Linked DNA regions of Coturnix japonica. The protein of the gene in region 1 interacts with the protein of each later gene in a biochemical or structural test. Links are inferred from orthologs where the notes say so. Each region holds a gene or a part of one and is shown in the gene's direction. Other genes may lie near its edges.

The links.
Region 2: of the proteins of ATXN3 (region 1) and CAPN2, one has a biochemical effect on the other in vitro, tested with the Homo sapiens proteins (2 studies listed by BioGRID). The link is inferred for Coturnix japonica from reciprocal best matches to the Homo sapiens genes ATXN3 and CAPN2.

Annotation. Positions count from the first base shown.
Region 1 is NC_029520.1:40,420,361-40,431,483, reverse strand, and holds the start of ATXN3 (ataxin-3), read left to right. Parts: upstream 1-2,236; 5' UTR 2,237-2,324; coding exon 2,325-2,348; intron 2,349-2,483; exon of another isoform or gene 2,484-2,504; intron 2,505-4,091; coding exon 4,092-4,256; intron 4,257-4,806; coding exon 4,807-4,851; intron 4,852-5,853; coding exon 5,854-5,939; intron 5,940-6,376; coding exon 6,377-6,443; intron 6,444-6,796; coding exon 6,797-6,832; intron 6,833-8,706; coding exon 8,707-8,794; intron 8,795-9,043; coding exon 9,044-9,176; intron 9,177-10,127; coding exon 10,128-10,303; intron 10,304-10,722; coding exon 10,723-10,846; intron 10,847-11,123. Other genes in the region: NDUFB1 (NADH dehydrogenase [ubiquinone] 1 beta subcomplex subunit 1), read left to right, coding at 733-872, 1,705-1,741. UniProt on the Homo sapiens protein: Deubiquitinating enzyme involved in protein homeostasis maintenance, transcription, cytoskeleton regulation, myogenesis and degradation of misfolded chaperone substrates.
Region 2 is NC_029518.1:15,385,120-15,396,242, reverse strand, and holds the end of CAPN2 (calpain-2 catalytic subunit), read left to right. Parts: intron 1-233; coding exon 234-317; intron 318-1,267; coding exon 1,268-1,353; intron 1,354-1,995; coding exon 1,996-2,070; intron 2,071-2,243; coding exon 2,244-2,404; intron 2,405-2,791; coding exon 2,792-2,961; intron 2,962-3,444; coding exon 3,445-3,456; intron 3,457-4,155; coding exon 4,156-4,367; intron 4,368-4,982; coding exon 4,983-5,019; intron 5,020-5,317; coding exon 5,318-5,383; intron 5,384-5,628; coding exon 5,629-5,686; intron 5,687-6,706; coding exon 6,707-6,771; intron 6,772-7,847; coding exon 7,848-7,916; intron 7,917-8,548; coding exon 8,549-8,627; intron 8,628-8,739; coding exon 8,740-8,856; intron 8,857-9,195; coding exon 9,196-9,254; intron 9,255-9,739; coding exon 9,740-9,763; 3' UTR 9,764-10,447; downstream 10,448-11,123. UniProt on the Homo sapiens protein: Calcium-regulated non-lysosomal thiol-protease which catalyzes limited proteolysis of substrates involved in cytoskeletal remodeling and signal transduction. Proteolytically cleaves MYOC at 'Arg-226'.

The DNA of each region.
Region 1 (11,123 bases):
GCTCGCGCCGCCTGTTGCCCTTGGGGTGGCCGCTGCGTGGGGCCTGGTGCGGTGCGGAGTGTTCGCGGGTCTCGGTAGGTGACGGGGTGGCGTCTCATGTTGTTGGTGCGCTGGCAGCCGCCTTCCCGAGGGTCGGTACCGGGAGGGTAGGCCCAGGGGGCGCCTTGGGAGCTCGGCTCGGGCGGGGCTTGTGTCTGCCCTCTGACAGCCCAGCTCCTCGGTCTGCCAGACCTTCCTGCAGGACACCGGTGTGGGGCTGTGCTCAGGTTGGGAAAGGCTGGGTGGGTTTTATAAGCGCTTTTCCCCCGTTGACTTCAGCTTATATTTTGTCTGTGATAATAACACCTACATCTGTGAGATGGTGCATTATTGAATGCGTTTCTGACGTTTTGTAAAGCAACAAGCTGCTGTATAATTGAGTTATTTTAATGAGTATATTGATCTAGGTTGCTTTGAACATACATTTCACCTCTAATGCCTTAAAAGAGGCGTTCCTCTCCCATTTTAGGTTAAAATCCCATTTCTAAGACCTGACCATTGTTTAAGGCTGTTTCTAAGAGACTTGCATGTGCTTTTGAGACATGAGTCTGTTCAGCCTGCATTGGATGTGTTTAATGGCCTGTATACTTATTATCCCAGGGTAGGATTCTACTAAGTGTGATTAAATGTTCCAGCTTCCATGTACAAATTTATTACCAACTCTTACTGTTGTACTTCTTCTTTCTAGCAGCCATGGTGAATTTTGCCCAAGCTGTGCGTGACCACTGGGTTCACATCCTGGTTCCCTTGGGATTTGTGGTTGGATGCTACCTGGACAGATGGAACGATGAGAAGCTGTCAGCCTTCCGAAACAAGAGCTTATTGTACAGGAGGTCTGCTTGGTCCTGCCTTTTAACATTATATGTATTATAGGTTGCTTTCCCAGATAGACTTTTAAAAGTACTTCTTTACAACAAACCACTCAACCATATCTCCTAAGCGCTTTCCACTTTCGCCTCTATTTGTCTTCCCACTAAAGCAATGGATTTTTGGATTGGAAGGAGTTAGATTTTTGCCTTTGGGGTCTCATGTAAGAAACACCATCTGTTAACTCAGCAGAGGTTTATTTATAATTAATGGTAGGACTCAATCCTTTGAAGCTTTGGGTCGTAAAGTAAAAGTTTAGGAGGGCGGGGGCTGAAGCACCTCCCCTATGAGGACAGGCTGAGGGAGTTGGGTTTGTTCAGCCTGGAGAAGAGAAGGTTGCGGGGTGACCTCATTGCAGCCTTTCAGTACCTGAAGGGAACTTACTCCCAGGAGGGGAGTAAACTCTTCGAAAAGGCTGATAATAGCAGGACATGGGGAAATGGTTTTAAGTTAAAAGAGGGAAGATTTAGGTTGGATGTTAGGGGGAAGTTCTTCACTAGGAGAGTGGTTAGGCCCTGGAACAGGCTGCCCAGGGAGGTTGTGGATGCCCCGTCCTTGGAGGTGTTCAAGACCAGGTTGGATGGGGCCCTGGGCAACCTGATCTAGTAAATGTGTATGTTTGGTGGCCCTGCCAGGCAGGGGGGTTGGAACTACATGATCCTTGAGGTCCCTTCCAACCCGGGTCATCCTGTGATTCTGTGTGATTCTGTGATTCTAGAATCATTTTAAATGCTTGTTAATTATCCCACACCATTTATCCTAATTTTAGCCTCCACCCTTTGTTTTCTTTCCACACAGGGAGCTGAGACCCGGCGAAGAAAAGACCTGGAAATAAAGGCTGCTAATGAATGGGGGAAACTTTCTGCTCTGTTCATCACCTGATCTCATGCATTGAAACAATATGGTTATGTTTTTTCTCCTGAGACCCTACCAAGCTACAGAATAGAACACCTACAGTTTGTCACTGCTACTTTAATTCCTATTGTTACTTTATGGAAGGTGATCTATTATAAAGCTGTTTTGATTCTGTGAAGCCCATGGAATTGAGAAATATCTGCCCCCAGAGGTTCCGCTCTGGAGTTGGGGGAGAAAAGACGTCATGTAATAAAGAAAAAAAAAAAAAAACTATGCAAAAATAATTTCCTTTTTTCTTAGTCTGTGTGGTGTGGAATTAATGCGTTTATAGGTGGTTTATGAGCTAACCGAGGCGGTACCTCACACATGGCGCTTTATTAACTCACCGCCACACGGAAGGAAGGACCGCACGTTTCCGGCTGCTCCAGAACTGCGCAAGCGCGTCGTGCTGCCGAGCTGCCCGGACCTCCCGCCGCCAGGGGGCGCTGCTGCGGCACGGCGAGGCGAGCCGCGATTGGCTGCGCGGGTCATGTGAGGCGGAGGCCGTGCCGTTGATAATAAACATGGAGTCGATCTTCCACGAGCGGGTGAGTGAGGTGTTGTGGGGCGGGAGCGGGGCTGCGCTCTGGGGAGGCGGCAGTTGTATCTCCCGGCCTTGCGCTGCTCTGGGGCTGCCCTGTTCCCCTGCCCCATCTCCGGCGGGGCTGCTTCTCGTCTGTGGCCGAGCAGGAAGGCGAGCAGCGGTACGTGGGGCGGGTTCCGTGAGCTCGGACACCAAATCTGCCCGCTGTGGGTGTGCGGCGCTGTGAGGGACGGCATCGAGTGCTGAGCTGAGCTGAGCTTCCTGTTGGGAGAACAAATGCTTCTGGAAACTGCTGTGCTGTGTCAGGGCTCACACGTAGCAGCTGCCTGCGACCTCTGTTGTTACACTACAGTGCCCTTTATCTGCTTTGCCGGTCACTCTGCAGCTTTGCTGATATTTTTGTATTGTTTTGTGGGATCTGTTTAGGTGATACTGGTTTCTGTCCGTTGTTCTTATGCGTAGTAGTTGGTTTAGTTAACAAATAAATAGAGTTAGCTGTACAGTTCAGTGGGTTTTTGTTGTTGCTTTTAATAAGTTATTACATCAGTACAGAAGGGCCCTTTCAAAGAAATTAGAGCCTAAACTTGTAACATGACTCATTTTAACAAAGTTATCCCAGGCTTGATTTGTTCCTAATTATTTCATATGCTTCTGGTGGAAACAATCTGTGACCATTGGCAGGTCTCAGCTGTGTCATGGGGCCAGCAGCAGGAACGTGCTTCCAGCAGGGCAGGAGTTGCTGTTTAGTCTGGAGTTTCTTTTTGTGGGATAAACACAAGCTGGAGAAGCTGTGAAAGATGAGACTTTTGAATTCCATTGTACTTAGGCTGTACAGCCTGTCCAGCTTGAACTCAATATTCAGTTGAGTGGTGGTACCTTCAGAAGGGATTGTAATCTATAAAGTTTCAGGGATCCTGCTGTGAGGGAGACCAAGGGAGATTTGTGCACCTGACTTGTATGATGGAAGAGTGGACATTTAAATAACATTCTTACAAGGCACACTCTTGTATTCTTTACTTTCTGTGGAGTTTTAATTCTTTGACAATTTTGTTTTGTTTCCAACACCTTTGTCCTAATGCACATTCTTAATGTTAATATAAACAAGCATTGATGCAAAGAGGAAAGCTGCTTTTTATAGCTGATGTTAAACTTGTCTTGCACTCGTAGGTTAACTAACTCGCCTGTTATTTTTTAGAGAGGGATTGTTTTTCATGGGAAACTGTAATTCCTCTTTTTGCAAAGTCTCAATGCTCTGTTTTTCTTTAGCCACATGTGGAAAGCAGATATTTCCCAAACCTCATAGGGAACACAAGTTTAACAAAGAAAAAGAGTGTCCCTTGTGGAGAATATTTGTTAATGGGAATTAGAGATTTAAAAAAGAAAAGAATGAGTTTCTTATTTCATACAGTGATGATTTGAAGGGAGCGGAATCGATTCTCCTGATGGTTGCAAAGTACTTGTGTGACTTGGACAAACTGTAGGTGATTTTTACCCTGTTTCCCAAAACATTTTCACTTAGAATTTATTTTCTTCCAGGAAATATGTTTGTTTTCTTTTCCATCGTCAGATTAATGGAACATAGGAATGTATTCTACAGCTCACACTGTAATAAAAATGGAAAAAAATACAGTATTCTGGGAAGTGGGGGCTGGAATGAAATCATTGAATGTTTCTGCAGAGTGCGTCATTAACATCTATATGTTATTGCTTTTGACATAGTGGTGTTTTTTTCCTTTCCTAATATTAGCAAGAAGGCTCATTATGTGCTCAACACTGTCTGAATAATTTGCTACAAGGAGAGTACTTCAGTCCGGTTGAGCTATCCTCCATTGCACAGCAGTTGGATGAGGAAGAAAGAATGAGAATGGCAGAGGGAGGAGTGTCTAGCGAAGAATATAGAACATTTTTACAGGTAAAATCTTAACTTGACGTTGCATGATGTCTTCTTAAAATCTAATATTGTATAGCAAAGGCCTGCTATGCCTGCATAATTACAGAAGATTCATTTTCTAGTGCTGATGTTTTGGAAGTTTGCTGATATTTTCATTCAGGCATTTCAGGTTTGAGGTTTTTAGTGTTATTTGTACAGCTTTATAGTGCTTCTACAGGGGGCCGTGTTACCTTATCTCCTCATCTTAAGGGTAAGATGGTTAGGCATGGCAAGGAGAAGACTAAGAGATTGACTGTTTGTTTTAGTAAGCCAGGGGTAGAGACGGTAACAGAATTCCCTGTACATGTCTGTCCTTTAAGCAGTAAGTATTTGCAGCTTAAAAGTTTGAGTTATTAACAAAAATGCAAATGTTGGTGTTGTAATCAGCATACAGAGTAAAATATATTTCATTGTTGTTTTATGTATGTACAGTCATATTATTATTATTATTATTTTTAAGTGAAATTCTTTCTGAACTTTTATGCTGACACAACTTTTAACTTTCCTTCCTCCAACCTCATATGCTGAGCAGCAGCCTTCTGTAAACATGGATGACAGTGGATTCTTCTCAATTCAAGTAAGATGTGCCCTAGACTGGCAATTTTTTTCTTCTTTATGGAATGTATGTGTTGTCATACAATTTAAATGACATTGACCTATTATCTAGTTTCTGTTTTATAGGCTTAATGACATTAATGGTTAGACTTGAATCTTGAATTACATTAAGAGCAGTGGTGACTTGTGTTTGTTCTTTAGGGTAGTATGGCTTGGTTGCAGTTGGACTTGATGATCTTGAAGGTCATTTCCAACCTGAGCAGTTCTATAATTCAGTTTATGGGTCTTTAAATAAAGAGTCAAAGCATAGACTCCCTCATACCTGCTAGCAATAAGCTTGCTTTCCAAATCGCTTTTTATGGGATACAGGTGAAAAAAAGAGACTCGAGATTGTCTTCTCAAATTATAGACTGTGAAGTCTTTGGCAGAGGTTACAGAATTATTGCCATGATTTGCAGAATGAGAGAAGCTGCAGTATCTGTGATCCAGTTTTTACAGTTCTTTCAGGGCACTTTGAATTGTGGGTTTTTCTGTTCGTTTTTTTTGTTTTGCTTTTAAAGGAATGTAATGGGAAAATAATTAATAGGAAATACGTTAACCAAACCAAAACAGTGGTATTGAACACTAAGCTGGTGAAGCTGATGACATTGCACTACAAGGAGAGGGCAGACAGGAGAGGTACCTGGAGAACAACGAGATGACAACTTAAGCAGTAGTTGTGGGAGGTGAAATTACAGCTTTGAGTGGAGCAGTGAGTTTATTAACGTGTCTTAGTTAAATCACAACTTTGATACTCCCCCTTAGATTTGGTAGGCATGTTATATTTGCACATAGATTGATGATGGTGGCATTTTGAATAATGTGATTCCTAATTTTCCCTGCAGGATTTTAAGATCAAAGCTTAATGAGAATAATATAAGTGTTTATAGTAGCTAAAGCGGTTGCTCTTGCTCAAGTTGGATTGGATAGGTTTGACTCATAAAAGGTGTTGTTGGTTTTTCTGTTCATTTGTTTGTTCTGACAGGTTATAAGCAATGCCTTGAAAGTTTGGGGTTTAGAACTAATCCTCTTCAACAGCCCAGAGTATCAGAGGCTTGGGATCGACCCTATGTAAGACTTTTTGTTATCATCGTTTTTTAAGCAGAGTTTCCTTTAATTTTAGGAAAAATACTGAAAAACAGTTACTTGTTTCTTTAAAATCAGTATTTAAGCTCTGTTGCATTCTGGTGTTTATTTTCTTACACCCTGACCCTTTGATGTTTTTTCTTCTTTTGAGGGTGTATATAAGCACCTCTCCTTTGTGCCTTTGTGACATCTCAATGTCTGTAGCATCAGGTTTATGAGATTTCAGTAATGTTGATGTGATGAAATGATATAACCATAAGTTATGAAAGCAGTATGAGTACCTCTGTAGCACCAAATCAGCAGTTTTACTACTGAAAGTTTGTTTTGTAAGTTTAAATTACTGGTGGCAAAGAACTTAAAACATTAATATGCACTCCAATATTATTTAATTTTATCTATACCTTTTGTTTTTCTTTTTACAGAAATGAAAAATCATTTATTTGTAATTATAAGGAACACTGGTTTACAGTTCGAAAGTTAGGAAAACAGGTGACACTGTCTTTCTTTATTTAAAAATTGACTTCAGATTGGGGGTGGAAGAAGTGGTTTCAAGTAGACCATATGTTGGCCATTTGCAGGCTTTTTCTGCTATTTGATTTAATAGTAGATATAAATAAATGAGTAAATGTTTGCTATATCAGAAATGCCAGGCAGCTTCCCCTGCATTTTTCCTTAGGGAAACATCCCAGGATCAATTTGCTTGTGAACCTGTCCTATAGGAAACGGTAGCTGAGGCAGCCCTTGTGAGCTCTTACGTTCTCTAGTTCTTTCTGTGTGTGAAATAACAGAAAAAAAATATGATTGCAAAGTTCCGTTGCACTAATAAATATTAATAATTGCAGGTATTTAAGGGTATCCAAGGGATAAGGCAGAGCAAGGTAGAGTCAAAAATTTTCACTATTGTATAAATCTATCTGAAGCAGCTGGATTATTAGCAGGAAATAACTATTAAAGGTTATGGCCATACACATGTGTAGTATCTGTATAACAACACAAATCACACACAGATCTCTTATAATGTCAGTGCAGTCTGTCTTTAAGTAGCCAGCCATTGTTCTGGATTGTAGTGCAAAGCTCTTATACAACATAAATTAGTTAGTTTAGTGCAGTGTTTTGGGGTTGATTTTCTTTGTGTTTGATATTTTTTTTTGTTGTTGCTGGGTTTTTCTGGTCATGGAAAGTGTCCCATTAAAAAAACAAAACACAAAAGCCTTTTAAATTAGAAAAGAGAATGCAAAAGTCTTCCTGCCCATTTGATTTTCCAATTGGAGATTACTTATGTTGTCATCCAGTGTGAAGTAGTATAATTTTGCCTGCAAATAAGCAAACTAAACTCTACAGTTCTGGTGTAGTTTCAGAGATTGGCTGATTATTGTTTACAGGCATTTTTTTGGTGTGCTTGAAATTGAAAAGGCTGAATGGCCTTTTAAAGGGTTGGATAAGCTCCCTGGTAGAATTACAGCCACATCAGCTGAAATTTGTTTGAGATACTGTTGTAGCTTACAACATGTTTAATTGGATGGGGTATGCATTTTGTTTTCTCATGTGGTTTGTAGCCAAAGAAAGAAAACACAAGGTTCTGTTATCTAGAGAGTAATGAGAAGGGAAAGACAAAACAGCCTGACTTTTGCTTTCACCTGCTGCTTTTCTGTTACAGTTAAAGCACAGTTAGTTCTCTAAAGTTCTGTCCTCTGTACTTCTTATAGTTTGTCAGTAATCTGTCTATGTTTGCGTAACTTTTAATTCTTTCCCCATTCCTACGCAGTTTGTTTTCTTTACCTTATCTTAGTGCAAGTGGGGCTTTTGACTGACAATTTAAGAATGGTAGATAGTTGACTTTGAATTTGCCAGGTGAATTACAGTTTAGCCCTGGCTGCAAGTGTAGAATTTCATATACAGTAGTTTGGGCAGACAAATGCATTTTTGTGACAATAGAGATAGGACTTTTCTGTCTGAAATGGTGCATTCTCATTCAAATTGGCTAATGTTGAATGGCTATGGAATATAAAAATATTCTTCAAATTGATTGCTATATAAATGGAATACACTAGGTAGTTCATTTTGCCATACTTATTGAGTATATTTTCCCCCTAGTGGAAATATTATATATAATGGATTGTTTTCAGGCATCTGAAAGTAACCTGCATACGTATTAATCTCTAGTGACTCACATTGTAATGTAATGCTGTATAAGTAGCACATTAAACTTAAAGTTCATTTTTCTAAATTTTTAAGTCCGACAGTTACCTCCCAGAGTTGTAAACAATAGTTTGTAGTATCATCATCTATTAAAGGCAGCATGTTTAATTAATAGAAGAGAGTGAATTCAATTTCTGTTTCCTGTACCTACAAATATATTGAGATACAGGGTTAACTTTTGAAGGGCTTCTTTCTTCATGTATCTCTGAGCAGTTTTAAAAGAAAGATCAAGCAGTATTTTGAAACTATGCCTGAAGTGATTCTTCTGCCATCTTTAGGTTTGTGTTTTGATCTGTTTGCCTGCTGCCTGTGTTCAGGAAGGGGATAGAGCATGCAGTCACTTACATGTTTCACATCTCCTGTTAGCTGAAGAGTTTTTGAAGGGAAACTTTGAGCAGTGTAGGTACTGTGCTTCAGTAGACTTTTAATTTGCTGATTTATTTTATTTGATGATTTGATTTGATTTTAGAAAACGACCGCAATGTACAGAAATGGATTATTGAGTCATGTTTATGCTAATTTATTTTCTCAAACTTTTTTTTCTTAATTGCAGTGGTTTAACTTGAACTCTCTCTTGATGGGTCCAGAACTAATATCAGATACATATCTTGCACTTTTCTTGGCGCAATTACAACAGGAAGGTAATAGTAGTTTGCAGATGTTTAATCTCCTTAATTAAAGCAGGTAATCATTATTTATTAGAACTTATCTATTCAGTTAACTAGCCTTAGTTTTGTTATTGAAATAGTGAAATAACCCAAATTCTTGCAATGAGAGTTTGAGCCTTATATTTTAATAGACTGCACATCATTGTATTCCATGTAAGTGTGCATTTCAGATAATTTATGTGTGCAGCCTAATGCTGTAGACCTACGATTTCTATTTTTCAGGTTATTCCATATTTGTAGTAAAAGGTGACCTGCCAGACTGTGAGGCTGATCAACTGTTGCAGATGATTCGAGTTCAGCAAGTGCAGAGACCAAAACTCATTGGAGAAGAGACTGCACAATCAAGAGACCAGAGGTAAGGTAAACAGACTTCCTTTTAATAATGTTTAGTAAGATTTGTTTCCATGATTAGTGAGAACATGAAAACAACCACTTTAAGATGTAATTAGAAGTACCTCAAGATCAATGTGTTCTATTGCACACTATAAAGCCAAATCAGTTGATGACCTAGTTTCAACTGGAACAGAGTTATTTTCTTCATAGTGTATAGTATGATGTTATGTTTTGGCTTTGGGAGTAGAACAGTGTTGATAACGCACTGATGCTTTAATTGTGGCTGAGCTGTGCTGCACAAAGCCAAGAATGTTTCAGCTTCTCATTCTGACTTGCCAGTGAAGTGCTGGGGGAGAAGCACAAGGAGCTGGGAGGAGACAGAACCAGGTTAGCTGATCCAAACAGGCCAAAGGAATATTACATATCATATGACAGAAGAATTCAGAGGAATTAATTTTGAGGAATGAATACATTGTTATTTCTAACACTTCATAAAGTAAACCACGGTGTTGTAAACAGATCTAATAAAAACAGTGAACTACTTGGAAGTGATGCAAAATTACATATAGATTACAGAAGATGTTTTGCTGTAGTGTTATCATCAAAGACTTCTGAGGAAGAGACCATGTGCACTTTTATCTGTGGGTGTAACTGTCTTGAAATAGGTTCAAATGAGTTGAACATTTGTTTAATAGCGCTTTTGAAGTTTCTTCTGTACATGTTGATGAGAATCTACTTTAAGCATATGTTCATAGTGTCGATATTTTCATTCTTATAGCTGAAAAGTACTTGCAGTTCTTTCATGCTATTTTCTTTTACATAGGAATAAAATATTTCTGATTATCATAATTGTCACTTTTTGCCAAAGTTTTTTTTTAAAAAAAGAGTTAAATCAGCACAAACTACTTTAAATCTCTCAGTAGAAGAAAGAATTATTGTGGTTTGAATGTTATAAATCTCATCAACTTCACAGGCTACCCAGAAGTGATGTGGACCAAGCAATAGAAGTTAGCCATCCTTTTGATGGGACAAGCATGTTAGATGAAGATGAGGAGAATTTTCAAAGAGCTCTGGCTCTAAGTAGGCAGGAAATTGATATGGAAGATGAAGAAGCTGATCTTCGTAGAGCCATTCAACTCAGCATGCAAGGTACGGTGCTTTTTTAAATCTCTTGCAGTGTTCTTGTTGCTTATGCTTTAGCAGCTACTGAAACCAGCTGCAGACAGCTGCTTTCAGAATGCTTCAGGTTCTGAAAAGACTGGCTTTGAGACACAGAAGGATAATCCAGACTTTCTAGTGTCTCCTTTCTGCTGTTTGAAAAGTTACAACTTTAATATTAACGCTGGATTTTTAGGAGGCAAGAACAAGTAGGCAAAAGGTGGCAGAAGGGAACCAGTTCTGGGGTGAGAAGATGACTATGAAATTAGCCTAGGTGCTTATTTCATTAACAAATCTGTTTCCATCGAATCTGAAGAATGATGTGTTTGGGTTTTGTGTTGTTTGTCTTTATATTAAGGAAAAAAGCTATAATTTTACTGTAGGACGGACATGTCTCATTCTGATTTTAGGTAGTCGTCAAAGTGAGTTCTCAAACTCGTTACCACAGAATGCTTCTCAGCCACCACATACCAGTCAGACAGACTCTCCTTCTTCAGAAGATCTGCGCAGTAGAAGACAAGCATATTTTGAAAAGTAAAGTAGCCAATAGAAAACTAAAACTGCATTTGGAAGTAAATGTCTTATTGTTCAGTGCTTTGGGGCTGTGGGTGGATTTCTGTCTGAGATCCAGCTTGATTTAACCCTCAACCTGTTTTCATGGCAGTGCTACAATTTTGCTATTCCCATGCGTTCTTTAGAAATGAAGCCTGTAAATAAGAGGGGAGCTGTTAGTAGTGTACCATTAGTCTTAGGAAGGAAAGCAAAGAAATATGTTAGAGTATTTCTGCTACTGTAATAATAATTTTCCTGC
Region 2 (11,123 bases), on another chromosome or scaffold:
TTGATCCCACCCCCTTCCTCTTTATTTTTCTATCTCTAAGCTTCAAGTATCCTTGTTTGAAGACCACATACCTTCTGAAAAGGAGGAAGGAGAGTGACAAACATGTTTAATGGAGGTTGAAGAAGCTCTAAATCAGGATGTCAAGCAGCCACTTTCTTGCGAGAAGTGATTTTCTTTGCAGTGTTCATAGGTCAGACTACTCAAGTGTTGTAACAGCTTCTTTGCTCTTACAGATCACCAGTGCAGCTGAGACGGAGGCAGTCACATCGCAGAAGCTGGTGAAGGGACACGCGTACTCCGTCACTGGGGCAGAGGAGGTAGGTGCTGTGCCCCAACACATACTAATGCAGACAGCCCCATATGTGGTCTTCCCTGAGCTGTGGCAGCAACAGATTGGTCTTCATAGCCAAAAATTCTTCAGTCTCTGCAGAGCCAGCTTTTTGAGTCACTTCTGCCTGAAGAAATAGCGAGTTAATCTTTCTGTTTTGGGTAAACACAAACTTAACTTCTTGGGAAAGCTCTCTGCAGAGGGCACACTGTCCTCTGGTGGATAGCACCTTGAGTGCATGGCAAGATGTGTGAGACACACCAGGCAAAAAAATATATATTATTACGTATTAAATAACAGCAATCAGCATCTTTCAGTAGAGCACCATGTGTGAAAGCCAGGTGCTTAGCCAAGAGTAGGTGATAACAAAGGCAAGGTGAGCAAAACCAAAAGGAAGCAGACAGGTCATGGTGTCCTTCATATGTGTAAAGGACATTTGTTGACTCCAGCAGTTATTTCTGAAGTATCTCTAGAATGGCAGAGTAAGGCGTGGTGAGTCCCCAGCCATAGGCATGTTGCAGGGAGGTGAGCAGTGCTTGCAGGCAGGTTGGGGTGCATGCACTTGGTCCTCCTCTCATAGAAGAAGAATCAGGAGGGATTTGACCTTAATTCACAAAAAGACATAGGCAAGCTTCTCCTTCAGAGATGTTTGCAGGCTTTGTATGAAGAGTTCATTGCAGAACCCCATCCTTGAACTTTGGTGCTCTGCTCTGCCCGCTCTCCTCTGTTTCCTTGGCTGTGGGCTCTAGTAATGCCCCAGCTCCTGCCTCCAGATCTGTGTGTTCCTCATAAACAATGGCTGTTCCCTCTGGCTGTCATAGAGCTTTGTTTGTGTCAGGTTCTATGTGCACAGCAATGGGCAAATTAAAAAAAAAAAAATGGAAGAGAACACAGAGCTGAGTCCTTGGGTGACTTTCCATGCTCTTCTGATCCCACCAGGTGAACTTCCGTGGAAGCATCCAGAAGCTCATCAGAATCCGAAATCCCTGGGGAGAAGTGGAGTGGACAGGGAGATGGAATGACAAGTGAGTCAACGGTTTGCATGTTGCCTATAGGTGTTGACTGCAGGGAAATGGTTGCGTTCCCGTTTTCCTCTGAGGTCTCCCTATTTCCAGCTTCACTTCATGTAATGTCTGCATGTGATGTTCTCTCTGAGCTGGTTAAAAGAGGCATCCCACCACTGTGTCTCCCATGCTTGTAGTGCCCTCTGCACAAACACCTGCTTTTGGGCTAGATGAAGTGATTTGGTTTGTGATTCCTGCAAGTCTTTTTGTAGTTTCTGCTTTTTTAACAGCCCAGATTCAGTGGTGAGCTTCTGAAAACCTACTTTATATAAAGGCCATAAAAATGCATTTCTGTTGTTAGCAGTGGAAGCTGGAGTTTATGTACTATATTTACTCTGGGTCTTCCTGCTCTGTTTCAGTCGAGGCATCAGTACTTTGTGAAAATAAAACTTCTGCCTTGCATTTTAAGAGGCCAGGTACCTAATGTCTGAATGTCCCCAGATTTCAATTCTGCTGTTGTTTGAGAGCCCTAGAGCTGCTTCTAGCTGGGTGTCATGGAGTTATTGCAATTGTGTAGAGCTGGGTGAAAAACTGAGTCCTGCCAGACCAGCTACATTAAGATTTAGCTTTTTAAACTGCAGTTAATGTGGTTTTGTCTTTCAGCTGCCCAAATTGGAATGGTGTTGACCCAGATGTGCGGGAGCGGCTGACAAGGAGACATGAAGATGGGGAGTTCTGGTAAGCGAATGAGCCTCTTTCCCACACAAAGTACCCTCTCCCACCGCACTCTCCAAGATGAGTGAGCAAATTCACCCCAAATCCCAGTGCTAAGTTGCTGCAGTAGAGGGATTAGACAGACAATGGCTGTCTGGAAACTGTGCATCATAAAGAGATGGCATTGCTTCTCCCAGGATGGCCTTCAATGACTTCCTGAGGCACTACTCCCGCCTGGAAATCTGCAATCTGACTCCAGACACTCTGGCAAGTGACAGGTACAAGAAGTGGAGCCTGCTGAAGCTGGATGGGAACTGGCGACGAGGAGCTACTGCAGGGGGCTGCAGGAATTACCCAAGTAAGAGTGTGCTCATCCACTTGTTGCTCTGGATATTCTGCAGTGTAAAGGATTGGGTTGAAGCCACAGCCCCAGTGGCACAGTGGTGAGAAACATTTCTGAGTCTGGTGTTACATTGACTTCAGTGTTGGCTTTGGTCAGCCCTGCATGCCTTGTCCTTGATGTTTACTGGTCTGGGGTGGCTTATGACTTTCTGGAAGTATCAGGGACTGATATCCAGGAAGTGTAAGTGCATGGAAGACAAGGCTCTATAATGAGGGTCTACTTGTGGATGTGAGGCTGGGAGGGAAGCAGTGGTCACAGCTTAATTTGGAAGCTGTGTCTGTCCTAGTTGGCATGTGTTTATCAAAGAAGGCTCTGAGCAGTTTTCATAAATCCCTTTTGCAGACACTTTCTGGATGAATCCACAGTATTTAATCAAGCTGGAGGAAGAAGATGAGGATCCTGACGATCCTGAGGGGGGCTGCACATTTCTCATTGGCCTAATTCAGAAGCATCGGAGGAAGCAGAGGAAGATGGGAGAGGACATGCATACCATTGGCTTTGCAATTTATGAGGCAAGTAAGATAAATGGAAGGAAAAGGAAAGATCTCTCGCTCTATTAACCCAGCAAAGTACCAGTTCCTTCTGTGCCCTACCTGAGTAGAGTTGGGCTTCCAACCCAAACTCATCAGAGCTGAATCAGATACCAGTAGCCTGAGTGAAAATTCCATTCAGGTGTTTAGAAAATTGTCCTCTATCAAAGCAGTGGTCAAGCACATGGACAGCCATCCAGAGAGATTACAGAAGCCATGTTCTTGGAGACATTCACACCCAGACAGGACAAGGTTCCAAGCAGCCCCATCTAACTTCAGTACTGGCCTTGATTTGAGTGGGGGGTCTGGACCCAATGACCCATAGGGGCTTCTACCAGCTATAGTATTCTATGGTTCTACATGGAACCAAAAAAAGCTGCAAAGATGGGGACTCAGGTCAGGACTGTAGCTGCAGCCAGTGAGCAGCACTGCAGCACACAACTAAATGTGCTTTTCTCCCTGCAGGTGCCCCCAGAGGTACGTAGCATGCGGTGGCATTGAAGGGTTCAAGGTGCAGCTCTGAGGCTGAGCTCTGTGGGCAGAAACAGTTGAGAGGATCCTCCTTCCCTGAAGGACCATTTGGGCTATGCAGAATCTGAAGTTAGTGGCTGTTTATTCTGAGGTGGGCTTGAGCCTGTATTGCATTTTCAAAACATCCTGGGTTCGGGTAAGAGCTCGCAGTACAGCAGAAACTCATAAGGGCAGTTCCTTCATGGCTCTTCTCCCAGCACAGGCCCACACCTGCTCCTGGCCTGCAGAGGTCATGCCTGACACCATTAATACTCCACAGAGGTGTCCATTCTCATACCACAGCTTCTCTGGGCATTGCCCGTGCCTTACCACCCTCTTTGTGAAAGATTTCCCCGTAACATGTAACTTCTTTCAGATTCTGCCTTGTCCTGTCACTATCAGATAATGTTGGTCTCCAAAAAGTTGTCAGAGTTCTTCAGTCTGCTGAACATAAGCATTAGCTAAATGCTGAAGTGAGATGGTCTGTAACACAGGAGTACTGCGGTGTGAGACACTCACTCCCTTTCTCTTTTCTCTTTCATTCTGATGGAACATACATTTTTCTCTTCACACCTCACTAATTGCCATCTCTATTGTGTCTGTAACTTAAAAGAGAACAAATACATGCAAATGATGGGTTTTCTCTGTTTTCTTGCTTTCCATAAGTTTTCTGGCCAGACGAATATTCATCTGAGCAAAAATTTTTTCCTGACTAACAAAGCGAGAGAAAAATCCAACACCTTCATCAACCTCCGGGAAGTGCTGAACCGGTTCAAGCTCCCCGCAGGAGAATACATCGTTGTGCCCTCTACCTTTGAACCCAACTTGAATGGAGACTTCTGCCTCCGAGTCTTCTCAGAAAAGAATGCAAACTCAAAGTATGTAGCTTTGTACCACAGAGGATTGACTGGGAATGGGATGGTTTGTTACCATTGTTGTTTATTTTACAGCAGTTTCTGTCTGGATAGATGCTTTTAGTCTTTGGACTGTAGCCAGCTGGGTCCTGCAGCCCAAGCTGATCCATGGAAACTAGAAAGTCACATAAAGACGTGCTTTGCATTGGTGGTGAGCGCACCGACTATGAGAAAGAGCCCACACCTCTGAAATCATGCTGGGAAATAAGCCAAGAAAATTGTTCAGTCAGCGGCTGCCTCTAAGAACACTGAGCTGGGTTTTAGTAGAGCTGGCTCAAAGCACACCATTGGCTGCAGATGTGGCTTATCCTATACAGCACATGGGCTGGGGCCTTGGGAAGGGGTGGGAGATCTTTCACAGCAACTTGCCTCCTTCACTGCAAGCACTAACCTTCCTCCCCTTGCGTATTCTTTACACCAATGAGAATACTGCTATGTCAGTCTGTGGTTCACTCCACCAACCTGTCAGATTTGAACATGCGTTGTTACTTCTGTAATTCAAAGAATCTGGATCTTAATGTAACTGAATCAGAGAAGTGGCTTATTTTGTTTTTAATATCAACTTCCTTATCTCTCTAGGGTTATAGATGATGAAATAGAGGCCAATTTTGAAGAGGTATGTTTTAAATATTTTAAATCGAGATAACTTTGTCATAAATAAATGGGATTGGACCATCTTTCTCCCCGTGCATCCCAAGCAGATGACATTTTGCTGCAGGCATTACCAAAAACGTATCCCAATTTGGATAATTTTGGATATACATAATTTAATGTCCAGAAATGTGAGCAGAAACGTTATAAGCAATAATGGAAACAAACGTTGCCTCTTTTCTGAGGTGGGATCTTGGGCACTCCAGGTACCCAGGATCAGGTGCTTTCTTCCCATATTCTGTATTTCTCTCTCTCTCTTCTAGACTGAGATCAGTGAAGATGACATTGAACCAAGCTTCAAAAAGCTTTTTGGGCAGCTGGCAGGAAATGTGAGTATTTCATGGTTAAGTCTTACAGGGGTGGCAGGGGTGAGTGTGCAAGAGGGACTGCTCCCAGTCACTGGTGCCAGTGGATCCAGACTTCCCAAATGGGTCTCATGGTGAGGGCACACCCACATCAGACAGAAACACTGAGGGATGCTGATCTTGACCATCAATCCCAAAAGATGAGGAGGCTGCTTATGAGACAGTGCCTGTGTCTCCCACTGAAGAACTTATTTTCCTCTTTTCTGCAGGATGCAGAGATCTCTGCCTTCGAGCTGCGCAACATCCTGAATAAAATCTTGGCTAAACGTAAGTACCTGCCCCCAGCAGTGCTTCAGGACACAGACAGGCTCCCAGAGAGGCTGTGAGAGATTCTCTCTTCACATGGCCAGGGCCACATGCCCTGCAGGCTCAGAGAGCTGCAGAAACACTTGGGCTGTGCCCACATATCACAGGGTGCATTCTCTTGTGGGGTATGTTTGCATGCCTGCTGCATACAGGTGCCTTTTATTCCAGCGTTTGAGCCTGGAGAAAAAATCCTACTTAATTTCCAAAGTGAAATCTCAGCTAGGAAGCCAGGGCTGTGCTACATGCATCAGCCAGTTAGCAATGGTGTGTTACTGGTTACCAAGCTTGATAGGATGAACGAGGCTACCCAGTGTTGACCTCCACAAGTCAAAAGTCCATGTTGTCCACTATCTTTGTAAGCAGACAAGTTCAGGAAGGCTTTATCTTTGTCTCTTGTTTCTGCAGCATACCTACAAACCAGTCTAACTGGACTGTTTGCTTGAGGAAATATCACAGCAAACCTTCACCCTAAAGTCTCTCTGTCAGGAAAAAGAGGGCTGTTCATTAGCATCCATTTGCCTGCTTCAGTGCCATGTCCGTCTCTTGTACAACACCAGAACTATCTCTAAGGACTAGCTTACCTTAGAAGGGGTACCAGTGCAATTGCTAGATCCCAAAGGCTGAGGATGCTGTTAATAAGTCTCAGAGCAGCAGGCAGGCATTCCTGTGCTGCTTTGGCCCAGACCATGGCAGCCATATGATAGAACTCCTCTTCACAAGGGCAGATTTGAAGGAGATGCCAGATTACCACTGAGTAACCAACCTGCCACAGACAAGGCAAAGTGCTAAGCACAAATTATGGAGAAACAAAAAATGCACTGAAAAGAAAAGGTCATTTTGCCAGTTTCAAAGGAAGTCCCTAAAGAGACATGTAGTTAAGGATGGAGGTGTGTACGCTGGTTACAGAGCTCCCAGGCAATGGAGGAAAGTCCTGTGGTACAGCGTGCAGCCTTAATCCCATCTCTTGCTCTTTCTTTACAGGTCAAGATATTAAATCTGATGGCTTTAGCATCGAGACATGCAAAATAATGGTTGATCTGCTAGATGTATCCTTTAGAGCTGTTTCAGGATGCTATTTTTCTGCCTGAAGTAGGTGAGCTGCTGCCTTTGTGAGCTCAATGCCTCCTGAGGCAGATCAGTTGTTTTTTGCACTGGTCCCCCCATATAAAACTGCAGTTCTTGCTTTGGTCACTGACCATGGCACACACATTCTCTCAGGCAGTGGGGAACTCCTTTTCCAGACAGGCCCATCTGTTTATTATGGTTTAGCTGATGCCAAAGTAAGGTTTGCTGGCAACAGGGTGTGGACAGCCTTGGCTGGTAGTTAAGATGCACACAGCTGGCTGTACTTTCACACTTTGCTATCTGGCTCGTGCTGCGGAAGGCATTGTAAAGCCATAAAGACTTAGTAAACAAGAAATGAAGCAAGCAAATAACGGGAACCAGGCTGAGTTTTAGGAGTGTCTACATCCAAGAATAAGCACAAAAGTGTAGGATGAAGGACTCGGGTCTAAGAATAGTCACATCCAGCTTCTCTGTTCAGTGGGAGTCGAACTGTGTACTCAGAAACAAATGGAAAATTACCAAACAAAATGATTATCTGCTCAAATTTTGTGTTAGCAGTCCATACTACTTAGTGGTTTTGGGGAGGGAAGCAATGAATGGCCAGGTACTTTTGTTAGCTGTTTGTGCAAGAGTTCTCTAAATAGCAGGCTTGGTTGTGTCTTTTCTTGTTTATAACCTAGACTTAAACACTCCTGCAACTGCAGGTGTTGAACCTATGGAGAGCAAAATGGCATCACATCTGCTGCTTTATGCATGTATTGAAAAGGCAGAGGAGAAGCAAGAAGGGCTTGTGAGCTGATCACAGTTTAAACAAATCAGCCACTTTATTGATTAGAAAGACAAGAAGCCCTGGAGAATAGTTTGTGTATCCAACAGGATGGGCTTGTTTAAGCAAAGGAAACAAACAGAAACATAAACTCTAGAGAGGACTTATATCCTTTTCTTAATACTTATCAAAAAATGAAATTAAGTCACAAGTGCTCGTGTTAATTAGCCCAGCACAGAGAGGGAAAAACCTTTTTCTGACTTCCAAAGAAATTACCTTGACTCCAACAAGAACGATGGGAGTGGAAAGCTGGGGCTGAAGGAGTTCCACACACTCTGGACAAAGATTCAGAAATATCAGGTAAGACATAACTTTTTTGGGGAGGACATATAATAAAATATGGATTGTTTTGCCTCATACAATATACAGCTATTAGAGATTTTAATTGTAAATTTTGACATGCAGCTCCTTTGTGCATGATCACTGTTTCCACTCTGAGGGAGGTGAAGCCTCTTCCCTGCTGGTGATCCTCTTAGTTTCAGAGAATCAGAACAGACTGGAAAGGGAAACCCAAGAACTGCAGCTGAACATATGTACTAGGCCCAGTTACTTAATGCCCACATCAGCACTAATTGAAGCTGGTCAACTGCCTGGCAAACCCAGAGAGCAACCAAACCCCCCCCCTCTAGAGTTCTACAGAACACAAAGTAGCAGGAAAACAATCTAGTTGGCTTGAAGTGTTTTGCTTGGAAGCCCTGTGCTGTCTGCTTGAGGCCACCAGGAGTTGGGTGACAGCCATGCATCCCAGTGCTGCGACACCAGTAGAAAGGTGCACGATGTGTCTCCTGCAGCCTCTGTACATCCTCAGTTCCCCAGTTTTAGTCCTCAGCATCCACAGCTGCCAGCTTCTCTTTACTCTCTTTCGGCTGTCCAAAGCCAAAAAGCACTCTGAACTGTTGACAAGTTTTGACTTTGGGTTTTGTGTCCTGTAGAAAATTTACAGGGAAATTGACGTGGATCGATCTGGAACTATGAATTCATATGAGATGAGGAGAGCGCTGGAAGCTGCAGGTATTTGTCCTTTAAGTATTATAGCACTTCCAAGCTGGGGTGGCAGATACTCACCACACTCCAGTACATGATTTCTAAGCTCTTTTTTCACCCAATCCTTGGTGTTATATAGGGTTCAAGTTGAACTGCCAGTTACATCAAATCATTGTGGCTCGGTTTGCTGATGAAGACCTCATCATTGACTTTGATAACTTTGTCCGGTGCTTGATTCGGCTGGAAACCTTGTTCAGTGAGTACAGGTTTAAAAACCAAACTCTGTTGCTTTGCCTTTTCACTATGAGGCCACTGGATGCTGAAAGCTGTTTTAAATTAACGTTTGTCAATATTACAGATAGAACCACTACAACTGTCCGGTCTCTTTTTCTGCCTATTTGGCAAGTAGTTCTTGTTGTATCTGTAAAGCCAGTGTCCATTTCTGTCTTTAGTGGGATGGTTTCACAGTGGTACTTTTCAACTTGGGGGTGAAGTCTGTTGTCATAAACTCATCTCTGAGCTGAAGCATGGGGAAGAGGAAATCTTTCCAGCTGGTCCCTATATTCATTCTTTTCTATCATCTGTCATTCCACAGAAATGTTTAGAAAACTGGATACTGAGAAAACTGGAACAATAGAACTGAACCTCATTAACGTAAGTGCATTCAGCTCTGGAAGATTCTTTTATTTAGAAGGTGGAGGGAGTTCACAGCAAAGAGCATTCCACTCTATTCTGACTAGTTATGGCTGGGTATCTGTTCTCATATATGTTAGATTTATATCGCTCGTGTAATTGTTTTGAGAAACATCCTTTTCTAAGCTGTACCTATAGCCAGTCCCAAATAAGATGTAATTTTTTAACCAAAAGTCGCACATTTACCAGAAGTAATTCTGGCTGAAACTTGTGTAGGTCTCTTCCCTGCCTCTTCTATCAATAACAGAATCAAATATAGGCTTATGAGTACTCACAGGATGGATTACACATGCTTTCTCCACCATTATGTGTGTCCTGTAGAGAACTAGGAGAAAACAAACTATCTAAAGTGTCTTCTATTTACACTCCTCACAGTGGAAATAGAAACACACATACTTTCTCTGGGTATTTTTCATTAAACTTCAGGCCATCTTTGTTTCTCATAGTGGCTCCTCTTCACTGTCATTTGAACTACTGCCATCAGTCCAAGATGCTTCAAAAAGATGAAGATCAGGTGAAGATAAACAGAATACAAAGCAAAAAATACATATATGCTAAATGACACGTGCCTTAACTTGCAAATGGGAACTTTGCACATGCTTACAAGGAGGAAAGAGCTAATTCCACAGCAGAAGAATCTGCAACCTTGTTTAATAGGTTTAACAGTCTTTATATAATCCTATATACCCTCTGTACAGCTTTATTACTGTATAAATCCTAAGTGCAACTTTTGAAAATATTTCTTTACCAATATCTTCCTATATAGTGTGGGAAGAAAGATTATTTTGCTTGATTAAGGGCTTCTGTAATATGCGGGACCTTGTGGTGCTGCTATCTGAAAGGGGATGGTATTGCAGCCCCTCAGAACACAGGTGTTCAGGTAAGACCTGGGGCCCCGCATGCTTCCTGTTAAGCTATGGTATTATTCATTCAGGTTAAATAATTTTTGAAGGACTCGAGTAGCAAGTAACACGTTTAAACAATCTGAAGACTCTGCATCTTGACCATTGATATCCCTGGAGCAGGAAAAGGCTGTTGGTAACTCAGCTCTCACCAGATAAAGCACATGCTCCCAGCTCTTGAGTTCCTGTATCTTTTTAAATCTTCCTTTGAAATACAAGTATTTAAATAAAAAGATAACAGAGAAAACAAGGCTTGCAAGATCCTTATTGTTTCTGAAAACGAGCAACATTTCTTTTCTGGGAGAGAGTCTTGCAGAATACATGCAGAGCTTCAGTTGTCCAGAACAGAACCAGCTGCCTTTTAATATGGAAAAAAAAAACACAAACCACATTCTGGAGCTGATTAGGCACTAACAGACATTGAATGTCTCTCTCTTAATGCAGTATTAGATAGCCTGACACTTTAAAAGATTAATTCTTGAAAAACTATGGTTTCAAGAAAGATGATCACTCCTATATATACCCCATACCTGACCTATTAAAACAACAAGGCTGTGAATGCAAGCAGAGTTCTCACCACAGCTGACATAACTTCATCCACTTGAGAATCTGTTTCCTTTTTACAGCTTCTTTCTCAAGTAAAAGAAACAAGAACTTACCCTTAAGAAAGCACAAGCCTGAAGGTGAGGCAGAGGTACATCACTAATGTGTTACCTTTGAGGAAAGACTTGGTACTTCCTACTACATAGCATTTATTACCAAACGATTATTCCTGAACTGATAAGCTATAAACAATATTTCCACTGGAAATTTGTATTTGGGAAATATTTTGTTCAAGGATTTTTTTTCTTAAACATGTCCCTTACAAGGGTTGTATGCAACTATCAGTTAAGGCTTAAATACAGAAAGGCAATCTTTGATTGACTGG